Linked DNA regions of Saccharomyces cerevisiae S288C. Changing the gene in region 1 together with any one later gene gives a genetic interaction. Each region holds a gene or a part of one and is shown in the gene's direction. Other genes may lie near its edges.

Region 1 (8,237 bases):
AAGCATCCTGTAGCATCGGGGCAACTACCCGTGACAGCTCTCCAGAGTACTGCATTGCCACCTTATTCCCAACAACAGGCCTTAGCATATTCTTTTACCTCACCGTTTTACAAACCAATAGTACAAATACCGGATGCCAATAAAAAATTGAAGCAATCTGCAGGAAGAGGTTGTACAAAAATGAAGTTCAAGGTAAGTAAATCTAATCATGATCTTTTGAAATCTAACAAGAGTTATAAACTGTATTTGTTTTCTGGCTTTTCAATACCGTTTATATATGAAACTGTGGGCCATGAGGCAATAGATTTCCCGTATCCCTGTGAACTAGTGTTTAATGGCACCAAACTAGAGGACAACGTGAAAGGTTTAAAGAAACAAAATGGGACAGGTAATCCTGCAAATTTAACGCCTTATCTTAAAGTACCGACCGAGATGAATCACCTAGACTTACATTATCTCAATATTGATAAAGAGTACTCTATAAGTTGCTTTATAGTGGAAGTTTTTTCACCTGAAGCTCTTCTGGGGAAAATTCTGAAAAGGCCCAAAATTATCAAGCAAGCCACCACAGCATACATCAAAAGAACCTTGAATGAGCAAGATGATGACGATATTATTACAACCTCCACGGTGCTGAGTTTGCAATGTCCTATATCTTGTACAAGGATGAAGTATCCGGCGAAGACTGACCAATGTAAGCATATCCAATGTTTTGATGCTCTCTGGTTTCTTCACTCTCAGTCACAAGTCCCTACATGGCAGTGTCCGATTTGTCAACACCCTATAAAATTCGACCAGTTGAAGATTTCCGAATTTGTAGATAATATTATTCAAAATTGCAATGAAGATGTTGAGCAAGTTGAGATATCTGTTGATGGCTCATGGAAACCGATTCATAATAGTTCGGCCGTTATAACGGATACTGTTAACCAAAATCACAGTGTGAAAAACGAGAACCAAGGCACTGTCAAACAAGAGCAAGATTATGACAGCCGAAATGCCTTCGATACTAATTTGCGTAATGGTTCAAACCACAACGAACCCGAAATAATATCTCTGGATAGCTCAGATGATGAAGCCTTTATTCCGGCTAGTAAAAGCTTCCCAACGCACGTGAACCCCCGTAATGACCAATTAAGAGCAGATATATTTCCCTCAGAATCGGAAGGATCCAGTGACTACAACCCCAATCATACATCAACGCCGAAAGGTTCTCCAACTATGGACCAAGATAATTATCAAGATGCTTTTCAAATGAGGTCATTTTTGAACCAAGGCGCTACTACAAATATAAATGACACACCGACGAACAATAGCAGTATTAATTCTTTCGTTACGGCGACGAATGGTGACAGCAGAATATTCTACAATAGAGGGCCATCAACGCCACTATTACCGGCTGTTCTACAAAATTTGACTAATCAAACGGAAGCGCAGAGAAACCCCTACGGACCTAATTACAATACCACAGCTCAAGATCGTAATCTTTTGGGAATCGAAGGTGATTTGCCTCCAATCCCCCCTGTGGACCCAAATTCAGAAGCAGAAACTGAACTACCAACAAGGACCACATCGGCGGCACATCTCCCTCCATATATACACGTGAGCACCAGCGGCCATGGGGATGATGGAAAAATTAGGAAGAGAAGGCATTCTAATGTTTCTATCTACATTCCGAAGAATCCATACGCCACCCTTATGAAACGGAGACCACAGGCAAATCACGCCATAATGAATAAAACTCTGGCCCAAACTAATGACTTTAACACATCGGCTCAAGATAACTCGGAAGTGGTCGATTTAACATCAGATTGATTAACCGTCTTTTGATTTCTTTCCTTTCCGATTGTATTCTATTTTTATTTCTATTGTTTCATTTCGCTCTTAATATTGACTTCCACTTTTGGGCGTAAATGATGTTTTTGTTTTGATAAATATTACGACTTTTGTTATGTTTTTTTACTACTGTGGTTACTTCATGGGTGTAGTGTGCGAATCTGCAGTGATAGGTTTCTATAGATTTCTCTGTATACTTCCTGTATTACACTATAATATTTCATGTCCTTTCACTTCCCACGTTTAGCGGGACAGGCCGCCCTTAAATTAACAAAATTTAAAAGGTAAAGGAATGTACTAAGAAAAGAAAACTATTCAAAGAAAGTAACAAAAGATCGTGAGTTAACTTATAATAGCAATGTCCTCAAGATATAGAGTGGAATATCATTTGAAGAGCCACCGCAAGGATGAGTTTATAGATTGGGTAAAGGGGCTACTGGCCTCACCTTTTGTTCTACATGCCGTCTCTCATGAAGGTGACTACAATGACGACTTAGCAACAACTCAACGTGTAAGGTCGCAGTATGCTGATATCTTTAAAGACATTGAAGGGCTGATTAAAGATAAAATAGAATTTGACTCAAGAAACATGAGCCAAGACGAAATTGAAGATGGCGCCTCTTCTCAATCTCTGAATATATTAGGACAATCGCGTTTAAATCTTTTGGTTCCATCAATTGGAACATTCTTTACGGAACTTCCATTGGAACAAGCTTTTCTATGGGAAGACTCACAACGGGCCATTTCGGCGCGTAGAATGGTAGCACCCAGTTTTAATGATATCAGGCATATCCTGAATACTGCACAGATATTTCACTTTAAGAAACAGGAGAACTTACATAATGGTAAGGTTTTGAGATTAGTGACTTTTGATGGAGATGTGACGCTGTATGAAGATGGTGGCTCCCTGGTTTACACTAATCCTGTAATTCCTTATATTCTCAAGCTGTTGCGGTGCGGTATCAATGTGGGAATAGTCACTGCGGCCGGATATGATGAAGCTGGAACCTATGAGAACAGATTGAAAGGATTAATTGTTGCATTACATGATTCAACTGATATACCAGTTTCTCAAAAGCAGAATTTAACAATAATGGGTGGTGAGTCGAGTTACCTTTTCCGTTACTATGAAGACCCGGAGGAAGATAACTTTGGCTTTAGACAAATTGACAAAGAGGAATGGCTATTGCCTAGAATGAAGGCTTGGTCCCTCGAGGACGTGGAAAAGACTTTGGACTTTGCCGAGAGAACTCTTAACAGGTTAAGAAAAAGACTAAACCTACCTTCAGAGATTTCTATTATCCGTAAAGTCAGGGCAGTGGGTATCGTCCCAGGCGAACGGTACGATGAAGCTTCTAAAAGACAAGTTCCTGTTAAGCTTGATAGGGAACAACTGGAGGAAATAGTTTTAACCCTTCAAAACACTTTAGAGTCTTTTGCCCCATCTAGAAGAATTCAATTTAGTTGTTTTGATGGTGGTAGTGATGTCTGGTGTGATATTGGGGGGAAAGATCTTGGTGTTCGTTCATTGCAACAATTTTATAACCCTGAATCTCCTATCCAACCCTCTGAAACCTTACACGTAGGCGATCAGTTTGCACCGGTGGGATCAGCAAATGATTTTAAGGCAAGGCTAGCTGGATGTACCCTCTGGATAGCATCCCCTCAAGAAACAGTGAATTATCTTCATAGATTATTAGAAACTGATTAAAACAGTTTATGTAAAATGAAATTAGGACTATAAAAGTATATAGATATTTCCTATAGAAACACCTCATATATGGCGGTGGATTTTTTCATCTTGAATGAATTATGCTTAGAATTATGATTATGGGCCCTCTAGGATTCATCTGATTGCTTGTTGAACAATGTCTGCCTTTTCAATAGCGCCATTTTTGCTCTCTTCGAAATCTTCAAAGTAAAGCTCTCTCGTTATTAATAGATAGGATATCAACCCTACGAAGGCGAAAAATGACGCATAAACAATTCTTCTTTGAAAACTGACTTCTTTTTCCAATCTTTCCAAATGCAATAAATGACGGTTAGTAAATTTGTCATTCTCCAGTTTCTGTTCTTCTAATATACGTAAAGATTGATCTTTCAATTGATTGGCAAAGTTATTCAGCAGATCTAGATTACTCATCATTGTTTCGTTGAATATCGTGACAAGATGACTGAACTTTGCTTCGTGCGCCATTTCAAGTTGTTCAAACGATTTAGATAGCAGTTTGCTCTGTTCCTCAATGTAAGAAACTGTCAAACTAGAATTTGTCTCCAGTTGTGACAGCCTTTTCATGATGTTCTTAAAAATGGATTCTTCTGGAATTACAGGAACAGCCGAAGAAGAAGAAGAAGATATCATTTGCTTGGAAGGACAAAAGGATGCATTAAGCACCTTGAAAAATTCATCGAACTTCAAAGGGATGAGCTTTGAAGTACATGATAATGCACCAGCTAAGTCTGAGAGATTGCTTGTGTTTGGAGTCTCTAAACGCGTTTCTATATTGTTACATCTGTCTTGGATATTTTGTTCATTCAAATTGTTTATATTGTTAGTTCCTATGGATTGTTCTTTATCCTCTTGAGCCTTTAGTTGATCGATCTTAAACTCATCCATCATTGATTTACCATATACTTTGATTAAGGATATGGGACAATAAAATTCGTCCTCATAATGGGATAGAATTTCGATTTTCAAATAACTTGCCCAGATTTGGGGATTATGTATTTGAAACTTTTGTAGTTCTCTTGAATTTCTTGCCTCGAATTCTCCTAATATTGTCCATTCATTTTTAACCATCGGTATTCTATCAGAAACTGACACCCTAAATCTCTTGAAGGTCGAGGAAAAGAATTCGTAATTAGCAATTTCAATTTCCTCCACCAGGATATCTTCACAAAGCTCTATAACAATGAATTGCTGCGGAGCTGAACAGGGATTCAGTAAATACTTGTCTTTGCTCTCAATTAACGTAGAAGTCGCTCCAATCGCTTCTGGATTGCTTTTGACAATTGTTGCAGCGCAATCCAAGGATGCATAGTTGAATTTTTTTTTGTAAACTTTCTCTATGTCCTTTTCCTCATTGAATCCTTTTTGATTTTCTTCTCTTTCACTCCACTCGTTTTTGTTTGTCAAAAACCCCAAATCGATTTCCAACTCTTCTCCTATGCATTCTTTCTCTTTATAGCAAGAGGGATCGACTGGCTCCCTCACTCGACTAAGATGACGTTCAGGGCCTGATGAGTGCTCCTTCGACTTGACCTTCTTCCATTCGTCGAACGATAAAAATGAATTACTCGAATCGCCCGGATTCCTTGGTGTTGCAGGCTGTGTTAGTGCATCTTGCTCTTTCCTCTCACCGTTTTCCCGTATGTCAGCCTGCCGTATGTCAACTTTAGAGGCCTGTCTAAAATCATGGGTTCTTAAAGAACCGGTGGATAGTGGTGAGGAATGTTCTTTCTGCACGTTCGTTGTACTTCCAGTCGTGATCACAGTGGTATCATGTAGACCAATCTTCGCATTTTGAGCAGTTTTGTTCCTATCTAATGCAAAAGATCCGATTATACTTACCCACAAAATAAGGCCGTATATGAGAAGACGGTTCGCCATTCGGACAGATAATGATATAATATATCTTATATTTTAACTATATCCATTGCGTCCTTTCTTTTTAACCGTAAGGCACAGTTAAGAAATAATGTTTTCACACTAAATGCTGATGCCTATAAAAAAAAAGTACCGATGAGATAACCTAGGAATAAAATTCTCGGAATTCTTTCGGACATTGAACTTTGATTTATCAGAGCTGGTAAATTCAAGAAAATTGAAATGTAGAAAGCTCGCTGAATTAAGAAAAAAAAAATAAAAACTTATTATTACGCACCTATATGTAGTGATTATGTATGTTTATTAAAAAAGTCCATCTTGGTAAGTTTCTTTTCTTAACCAAATTCAAAATTCTATTATTTCTTGGAGAGTTTACCGTTCTTTTTAGGCACTCTTGCTAACCAGTAGAAAAAGACACCAGCGATATAATTGAATGCAATATAACAGATGAAGATACCATAATTTCTCCATCTCTCACTGTAGAAAGAATTGACATTAGCTAAGTAATCATTGGTTGTAGATATTTGACAGAAACTACAGGTGTCAGTGGCATTTTCATCAGTTAAGTAACCAGTCTTTGCTAGTTGTAAATATGGTTCCATGTACTGCCCACATGTCATACCGGATGGTGGTGTGAATTCTAGCAATTCGTAATCAGCGCATTTGACGTCTACGTTAGCAACACCAACAGCCAACAGAGCCTGAATGAAATAAGTCAAAGGTGAAACCCTGTACATGAATATCCAAAATCTAGGCATGGCACTTGGGGTAGTCATAACACCACAAAAAGACAAAGACATTGTAAACAACAAAGAGGCTAAGTTAGCTGCACTTTCTGCAACTTGGTTGAATGAAATGACAAGCAGACCCATAGAACCAACATAAACGTAGAAAGCACAAGAGAACAACCAAAATAAAGCACCCCTTTCATGCAACTGGCCAGCTGCAGACGCGTTGGAGTAAAATCCAATTGGATAATAGTAGATAAAATAAGCAATAGTACCTGCCAATATATTCCATGGAACTTCCACGAATATTTGAGCGAAGATAAATGAAATCCAAGAAAAAGTCCTTGAGGGGCGTTCCCTGGCCTCATACAAATCTCTTTGCTGGACAAAAGATGGTAGGTATTGTTGTAGAATAGGATTGAAAATAACCGTAAACATGAACACAGCCAACATTTGATTTTGTAAACCCTGTAGCGAGGTTCCTGCTTTGAAGAAAGTGAAACCGATGAACAATTGATTGAAAATAGTTAAAATAAACTTCGACCATAAATAATCTGGAGATCTCCAATATTGCTGGAATAGACGAATACTGACCAATTTTGTTTGATAAATAATTGATTGTGAAAATTCGTGTTTGTCCTCAGCTGCAGTTATCGAACCTTTCTTTGGTAATTCTCTTTCCATCCAATCTAATTCAGATTGAACGGCCCTGTACTCTTCAGAATTCCTCCAAACTTCGTAATAATCTTGATTTGCATGAGAGCCTGGAGCTGCACCAACAACTTCTAGCATCCATTCAGCTGGGTTGGCGTCAGCAGGGCATTTATGAGCACCATGGCTTTCAAAATAATCGATCATAGTTTTACAACCTTCGCCCAAGTCGCCAAAGTAGACAGTCTTACCACCACGTTGCATAAATAGTAAACGATCGAATTCTTGCATCAAAATAGCAGAGGGTTGGTGAATAGTACATAGAATTGCTTGACCATGATTTGCCAACTTTTTCATTAGCTGACAAATAGACCAAGCAGTTTGAGAATCCAAACCAGAAGTAGGTTCATCTAAAAAGACCAACAGTTTTGGTTTGGCAGTTAATTCAACACCAATGGTTAATCTTTTTCTTTGTTCAACGTTTAAACCTTCACCAGCAACACCAACAACAGCATCAGCATATTTTTCCATTTCAAGAATTTTAATAACTTCTTCAACATATCTGTTCTTTTCTTCAATGGAAACTTCAGCTGGTTGACGTAGGTAAGCAGAAAATCTCAATGACTCCCTCACAGTGGCAGTTTTCAAATGCAAATCTTGTTGCTGACAATAACCAATGGATCTTGGGAAAGATTTATCACGGGGAATACCATTGACCAAGATATCACCAGTTATAACACCCATGGTAACCCTTTCGGCCAAACAATCCAGAAGTGTGGTTTTACCAGCACCTGAAGCACCCATTAAAGCTGTTAAAGTACCTGGTTTAACCCAACCATCAACATTGTTCAAAATACGTCTTGTTTCGGCCTTAATCTGAACTTCGTAACAAAGGTTTCTCCAGTGAAATATAGCCTCTGACTTGGATAAACCAATTTCTCCGTAAGTATCGGATTCCTCTTCAGAGCTTTCTTGTAGCATTTTCCTATCGCTGGATAAGTCACTACGTTCCCCAACGTTTTCGGGGTCATTTGCATTCTTTTCAGTTAGTACACCTCTTTTCTTCATTCTTTTAACTATACTGCGTGGGAAAACTAATATTTCACCTTTTTGTTTAGCACCCTCGTTGTATTCACATAAGAATAGATAGACAAAGAAAAAGAAGACGACATAAGCCATACCAATACCGAAACCACGCCATTTGTCTTTGTGGTAGTATTGATAAGTTCCTCTAATGAAATCATCACCCAGAACATAGTCTTGGCCTGGAACAGCTCCAACCACGGTACAAACAGATTCTGTACTAGAAATGTTTGCATACGCAGGACCACGAGGAACATATTCAGCGCAGGGGAATTTTATACCATGAAACTCGTTAATTAACAAAGATTCGAATAAGTAAGCCAACGGATTGA
Region 2 (3,237 bases), on another chromosome or scaffold:
TCCAAAATTTTTTGTCTAGATTTAGCTTGTTTCACCAAGTTAGCATAAGTACCAGCAGATGCAATGAATTTTTTAATATGTTGGATTTCCTCTTGTTGTTTATTGTATTGTTTCATTTGATTGGTTTCCAATTCGGATCTTGTCTTGTGATAAGAATCATAGTTACCACCGTAAGCAGTTAGTTTTTGAGCTCTCATGTCAATCATATTGGTACAAACACCGTTCAAGAAATCTTGAGAGTGGGACACCAAAACTAAAGTTCTGTCAAATCTCTTCAAATATTCTTCTAACCAAACACAAGCTTCCAAATCCAGATGCGCAGTAGGATCATCCAACAATAATAGAGTTGGCTTAACGAAAAGAGCTTTTGCCAACGCAACACGCATTTTCCATCCACCAGACATATCTTTGGTTTTCTTCAAAATGGTCTTCTTGTTGAAACCTAGACCGATCAAAATGATAGCAGCTCTAGATTCAAAGGTGTCTGGATCCAAAGAGTCCATTCTTTCATATAGAGGCTCTAATAACTCGGACTCAGGACCATCTTCCAAGATAGTCTTTTCGACTAAGTCTTCTATTCTTTTCAATTCGTGTTGAGCTTCAGTGACAACGTAGTCCAAGGCCGACAATTCACTTGGTTCCGCAGGTTCGTCCAATAAATAAATATCAATATGCTCAGGAATAGGATATTCTCTAGTAGCAAGAGCCTTTAAGAATGTTGACTTACCACAACCATTTTCTCCCAGAAGACCATATCTACGGCCGTAGTTTAATTCTAAACCAGAATCTTGGATCAAAACTTTACCGTGGAACAGTAAAGAAACAGAAGATAGCTTGATATCACGGGAAGTCTCCAATGAACTCAAAACACCAGTGACAACACGATCTGAAAGACCATCCTTATCTTGTTGCAACTTCATCATCTTGATTTCTCTAGCGGCTGCATCTACCTCCGATTCTTCAGCAGCAGCCTCCTTTTTTCTACCTAGCTTTCTGATGGTTTTACCGGCAGCGGCTTTCTTAGCCTCTCTTTCAGCTTTCTTAGCATCTCTCTTGGCCTTTGACGCAGATACTGGTGGCATATTTGGTTCTGTCAAGTTACTGTTTGTAGCACTGAGGGGAAGAAAACAATTTTTGCAAGAAAAAAGTTAAGAAAGAAGAAGAAAAACTACACGGGCACTAACATGTTAAATATGATAATATTTTTTTTTATAAGAGAATCACTACCAAGTTACCTGAACTACGTCAAGGAAAAGCCATTAATTGAGATGAGGTGAACGAAGAAAAAAAAAAAGAAAAAAATTTTTATTTTTTTTTCCATCGGTCTCCCCCCTCACCTTTCTTTTTTCATTCGTTTAAAGTGAGATTAGGGTAATGCATTTCGTATTTAGTGAGTAAACGTCAAAGGTGATATAGGGGGTTTTTCTTTTTCCAGAAAAAGAAAGAAAAAAGCCGGCGGTCGCCGCCGGAGATGGTTGAGAAAAAAAGGGGGCAGCAACGTGCTTCACATACAAACCAAGTTCTTGGATCTGTACGATCGTTTCTGCGGGTTTTTCCGTATTTGCCGCAATACTGAAATGGCTCATTATTAGGAGATGTGCATATAATGTATATACATACATTTAGCATATGTAATACATTCGTACATGTATAGAAATATATGTTTATATATATATATATATATATATGTATATACGAACTCGGTTTAACGCATAGTTGGTAAAAGATTTAATGTAGATAAAAAACACATAAGTTTTATACGCACGTAATCATGACTATCGCTAAAGATTACAGAACAATTTATAGAAACCAAATCAAAAAGCAGATACGACTAAATCAGGAGCATTTGCAAAGCTTGACACATCTAGGCTCACAAATCAATTTCGAGGTGGATCCTCCCAAATTACCGGATCCGGATCCTGCTCGAAAAGTATTTTTCTTTGATATCGATAACACTTTGTACAGAAAATCTACGAAGGTACAATTGCTCATGCAACAATCATTATCAAATTTCTTTAAATACGAATTGGGGTTTGACGACGATGAGGCAGAACGCCTAATCGAATCGTATTATCAAGAATATGGATTATCCGTGAAAGGTTTAATAAAGAATAAACAAATTGATGACGTCCTACAATATAATACATTCATCGATGATTCCTTACCTTTGCAAGACTATTTAAAGCCTGATTGGAAGTTAAGGGAGCTGCTGATCAATTTAAAGAAAAAGAAGCTCGGCAAATTTGACAAACTATGGCTGTTTACAAACTCGTACAAAAATCATGCCATCAGATGTGTTAAAATATTAGGTATTGCTGATCTATTTGACGGCATAACCTATTGCCACTACGACAGACCCATCGAGGAAGAATTCATTTGCAAGCCAGATCCAAAATTCTTCGAAACAGCTAAATTGCAAAGTGGGTTGTCGAGCTTTGCAAATGCCTGGTTTATTGATGACAACGAAAGCAATGTGCGGAGCGCGTTGAGCATGGGGATGGGCCATGTTATCCATTTGATAGAGGATTACCAATATGAGTCAGAAAATATTGTTACTAAGGACCACAAAAATAAGCAACAATTTTCCATATTGAAAGATATCCTTGAGATTCCATTGATAATGGACGTTGAAGTTTACCGTCCATCCTCTATTGCCATAAAGGAAATGGAAGAGTTGGAAGAGGAAGGGGAAGCAGTCAACTGGTCAAATCAACAGATCAATGTTCAGTCATCATGACTGTTACCTGATTTTAGAAAACAAATTTAATATTCCCTTCAGGATAGAAATTTCAACATCATTTGTCGTTTCATTAGAAATATCCAAAATACAATCTTTGAAATATTCTGTTACTTGACATTTGGGACCAAAAGGAATAAATTTCGAGCCATACATCGTTAAAATAAAATATAGTAGATTTTTATAGTTTTTACAATCAAAAAATTCGTTAAACTCTTTGATTATATTTTGCTGTATAGTTTCAGTCCGACCTTGCTTTTCACTAAAGCGTCTCCTGAGCAAGGCGCTTTGTAAATGAGGGAAGATTTGTAGTAGCCTATAATGTAAAAAAAAGTCGTTCTTGTCCACAATTTCGAAATATGAATTTATGAAATGTGCCTCATTAAATAATTCCAGGACCTTAAAACACAGTCTATGGTCCGATTCCATAGCGTTAAAAACCTTTCTATCCAAGATTAAACATATGAAGGCTTTCAGAAAGAATTCTCTAACATCATCAT
Region 3 (3,170 bases), on another chromosome or scaffold:
TGATACCCAATATATGGGATTCTCTGCCAATGGCACAGAATTGATCCCCGTTTGGCAAAGAGATGAATGGTTGACTAACGTGGTAGACTATGCTGTATTGGACGTCTTCGATTCTAGGGATGTGGAGTTGAACAAAGATATGAAAGCGGAACTTGATTCAAATTCGCTTTGGAATGCTTACTGGCTTAGATTGACAACTAATTGGAATCGCCTTATCAACTTATTGAAAGAAAACCAATTCTCACCAGGACGTGTCTTCACTAAACTCCTAGCTCTAGACGCTAAGGATACCACGGTATCAGATTTGAAGTTCGGATTCGCCAAAATCTTAATTGTTTTGACGCATGATGGCTTTATCGGCGGCCTTGATATGGTCAATAAGGGCCAACTTATCTGGAAACTCGATTTAGAAATTGATCAGGGCGTCAAAATGTTCTGGACGGATAAAAACCATGACGAACTTGTTGTTTTTTCGCATGATGGGCATTATTTGACAATTGAAGTTACTAAAGATCAACCGATTATCAAATCAAGATCCCCCCTATCTGAAAGGAAAACTGTTGATTCCGTTATTAGGCTGAATGAACATGATCACCAGTATCTGATTAAGTTTGAGGATAAGGATCATTTACTGTTCAAATTGAATCCCGGCAAGAATACGGATGTACCAATAGTTGCCAACAACCATTCTAGTTCCCACATATTCGTCACAGAGCATGACACGAATGGCATTTATGGCTACATAATCGAAAACGATACGGTAAAACAAACTTGGAAAAAAGCCGTAAATTCGAAAGAGAAAATGGTGGCATATAGCAAGAGGGAAACAACAAACCTAAACACTCTTGGTATTACACTAGGTGACAAATCGGTTCTTTATAAATATTTGTACCCCAACCTAGCGGCTTATCTGATCGCTAATGAAGAACATCATACAATCACTTTTAACTTAATTGATACCATTACAGGAGAAATCCTCATTACCCAAGAGCACAAGGATTCTCCGGATTTTAGGTTTCCAATGGATATTGTTTTCGGTGAATATTGGGTCGTTTATTCCTATTTCAGTTCTGAACCTGTTCCAGAACAAAAGTTAGTAGTGGTGGAATTATATGAGTCACTAACCCCAGATGAGCGTTTGTCTAACTCAAGCGACAATTTTTCTTATGATCCATTGACTGGACACATTAACAAACCTCAATTTCAAACTAAACAATTCATTTTTCCCGAGATTATCAAAACAATGTCCATTTCCAAGACAACGGATGATATTACCACAAAGGCAATCGTTATGGAATTAGAAAATGGACAAATCACCTACATACCAAAGCTTTTATTGAATGCAAGAGGTAAACCAGCAGAAGAAATGGCCAAGGATAAGAAAAAAGAGTTTATGGCTACCCCATACACGCCAGTTATCCCAATTAATGATAATTTCATTATCACTCATTTCAGAAATCTATTGCCAGGATCCGATTCGCAGTTGATCTCCATCCCAACCAATCTGGAATCCACAAGCATTATATGTGATCTAGGCCTTGATGTATTTTGTACAAGGATCACACCTTCGGGCCAATTTGATTTAATGAGTCCTACTTTCGAAAAGGGTAAATTGCTTATTACTATATTCGTCTTGTTGGTGATCACGTATTTTATCCGTCCTTCTGTTTCAAACAAGAAGTTGAAATCCCAATGGCTAATTAAATAGATATTTACATACACATTATATATATCAGATACACATTTCAAGGCTCCTTATTTTGGCTTTCTTTTTTTTTTTTTTTTTTTTCCCTGGAAGACGTCATACTCGTGGTTATATAATCTCCTACTTCTTTGGAAAATGGACACTTAATCAATGACGGTTGATAGCAGTACGTGCACTAGCAGACTAATATGAAGAAGACGTTCGAGCAGTTTCGAAAAAGCAATTTACTATTTCAGGTTCTCAAAGGACCCCAGCATCTAGAATGTCAGAAGTTATTTGTCCTTGATTCTTCATTCAATCCACCACATCTGGCCCATTTTCAACTACTATCGCAGACTATTAAAAACTTCAAATTGAAGGACACCCGTTCGCATGTTTTATTACTGTTAGCGGTGAATAATGCAGATAAGTTGCCTAAGCCGGCATCTTTTCCAACTCGTCTGGAAATGATGTGCTTATTCGCTGACTACCTTCAGGAGAAGCTCCCCCAATCTGTAGTATCTGTCGGGTTGACTGTTTTCTCGAAATTCATCGACAAGGACAAAATATTACATGAGCAATTTGTTAAAGGATGCAGTGCAGATATAGGCTACTTAGTTGGTTTTGATACAATTGCTAGGATCTTTGATGAAAAATATTATCATCCTTTAAAAATCAGTGATGTAATGGAGAGCTTCATGTCGGGATCTCAATTATATTGCTTGGCGAGAGGCGATTGCCATCTCAGTGCTGAATCGCAACTAAGATACGCCAGTGACATCCTTGAGGGAAAATTCGAACCGGTAATACCAAGAGAATGGGGCGCTAGGATTCATGTTATGCAAAATGATTATCCAGCATTAAGAAATGTTTCATCATCCGAGATTAGGAACAAACTGAAGAATGGGCAAGTGGAGAGTTTGAAAGACGAGTTGCCATTGTGCATATACGATTATTTGATCAATAATAAGACAATATTTGATTGAAAGAGAAAGATAGAAATTCAAATGCCTTTCATGGAGATATATGTATATAGATAAAGATAATATTAGGAACAAAAAAAACTTTCTGTTATACTAGACTAGTAATCTTAAAACAATAACATAGCAACAAGGCATGTACCAAAAAGAAGGGGGTCCAATTGCATGCTTGGATTTGCTGAGTTCGCGTATTTTGAAATCACTCTTTTCTTGGAGTCTTCACCTTCTTGCGTTAAATCTTTGTACCCTTTTTCTATGATTGTACCATCCTGTTTAACATTCAGCGTATTTTCCTTCTTACCAGAAATACAAGTGAATTTCCCACCCCTGATGATTGATCTTCCATTTGATGGGTTTGTCCATTTATTGCAATCCAACACGTTTGATGAACTCTTAATAAAAGCGCTACCTTTCACCAGTTTCAAGCTATCGAACATGATATCTTTGAACGAACCTTCAAAGAAAATAGCACCTCCAATCTGCTTCAAGTTTGGCAGGAAAGTAAT

What was found.
Region 2: of ISN1 (region 1) and PHM8, changing one enhances a phenotype caused by changing the other (phenotypic enhancement), as found in Saccharomyces cerevisiae (2 studies listed by BioGRID).
Region 3: of ISN1 (region 1) and POF1, changing one suppresses a phenotype caused by changing the other (phenotypic suppression), as found in Saccharomyces cerevisiae (one study listed by BioGRID).

Annotation. Positions count from the first base shown.
Region 1 is NC_001147.6:621,938-630,174, reverse strand, and holds ISN1 (IMP 5'-nucleotidase), read left to right. Parts: upstream 1-2,194; coding exon 2,195-3,547; downstream 3,548-8,237. Other genes in the region: SUMO ligase NFI1, read left to right, coding at 1-1,815; SLP1 (Slp1p), read right to left, coding at 3,683-5,446; ATP-binding cassette multidrug transporter PDR5, read right to left, coding at 5,800-8,237. UniProt on the Saccharomyces cerevisiae protein: IMP-specific 5'-nucleotidase involved in IMP (inosine 5'-phosphate) degradation.
Region 2 is NC_001137.3:224,118-227,354, forward strand, and holds PHM8 (bifunctional nucleotidase/lysophosphatidic acid phosphatase), read left to right. Parts: upstream 1-1,771; coding exon 1,772-2,737; downstream 2,738-3,237. Other genes in the region: ATP-binding cassette family ATPase ARB1, read right to left, coding at 1-1,082; Smc5-Smc6 complex subunit KRE29, read right to left, coding at 2,741-3,237. UniProt on the Saccharomyces cerevisiae protein: May be involved in phosphate metabolism.
Region 3 is NC_001135.5:43,161-46,330, reverse strand, and holds POF1 (nicotinamide-nucleotide adenylyltransferase), read left to right. Parts: upstream 1-1,893; coding exon 1,894-2,670; downstream 2,671-3,170. Other genes in the region: EMC1 (Emc1p), read left to right, coding at 1-1,708; SPS22 (Sps22p), read right to left, coding at 2,775-3,170.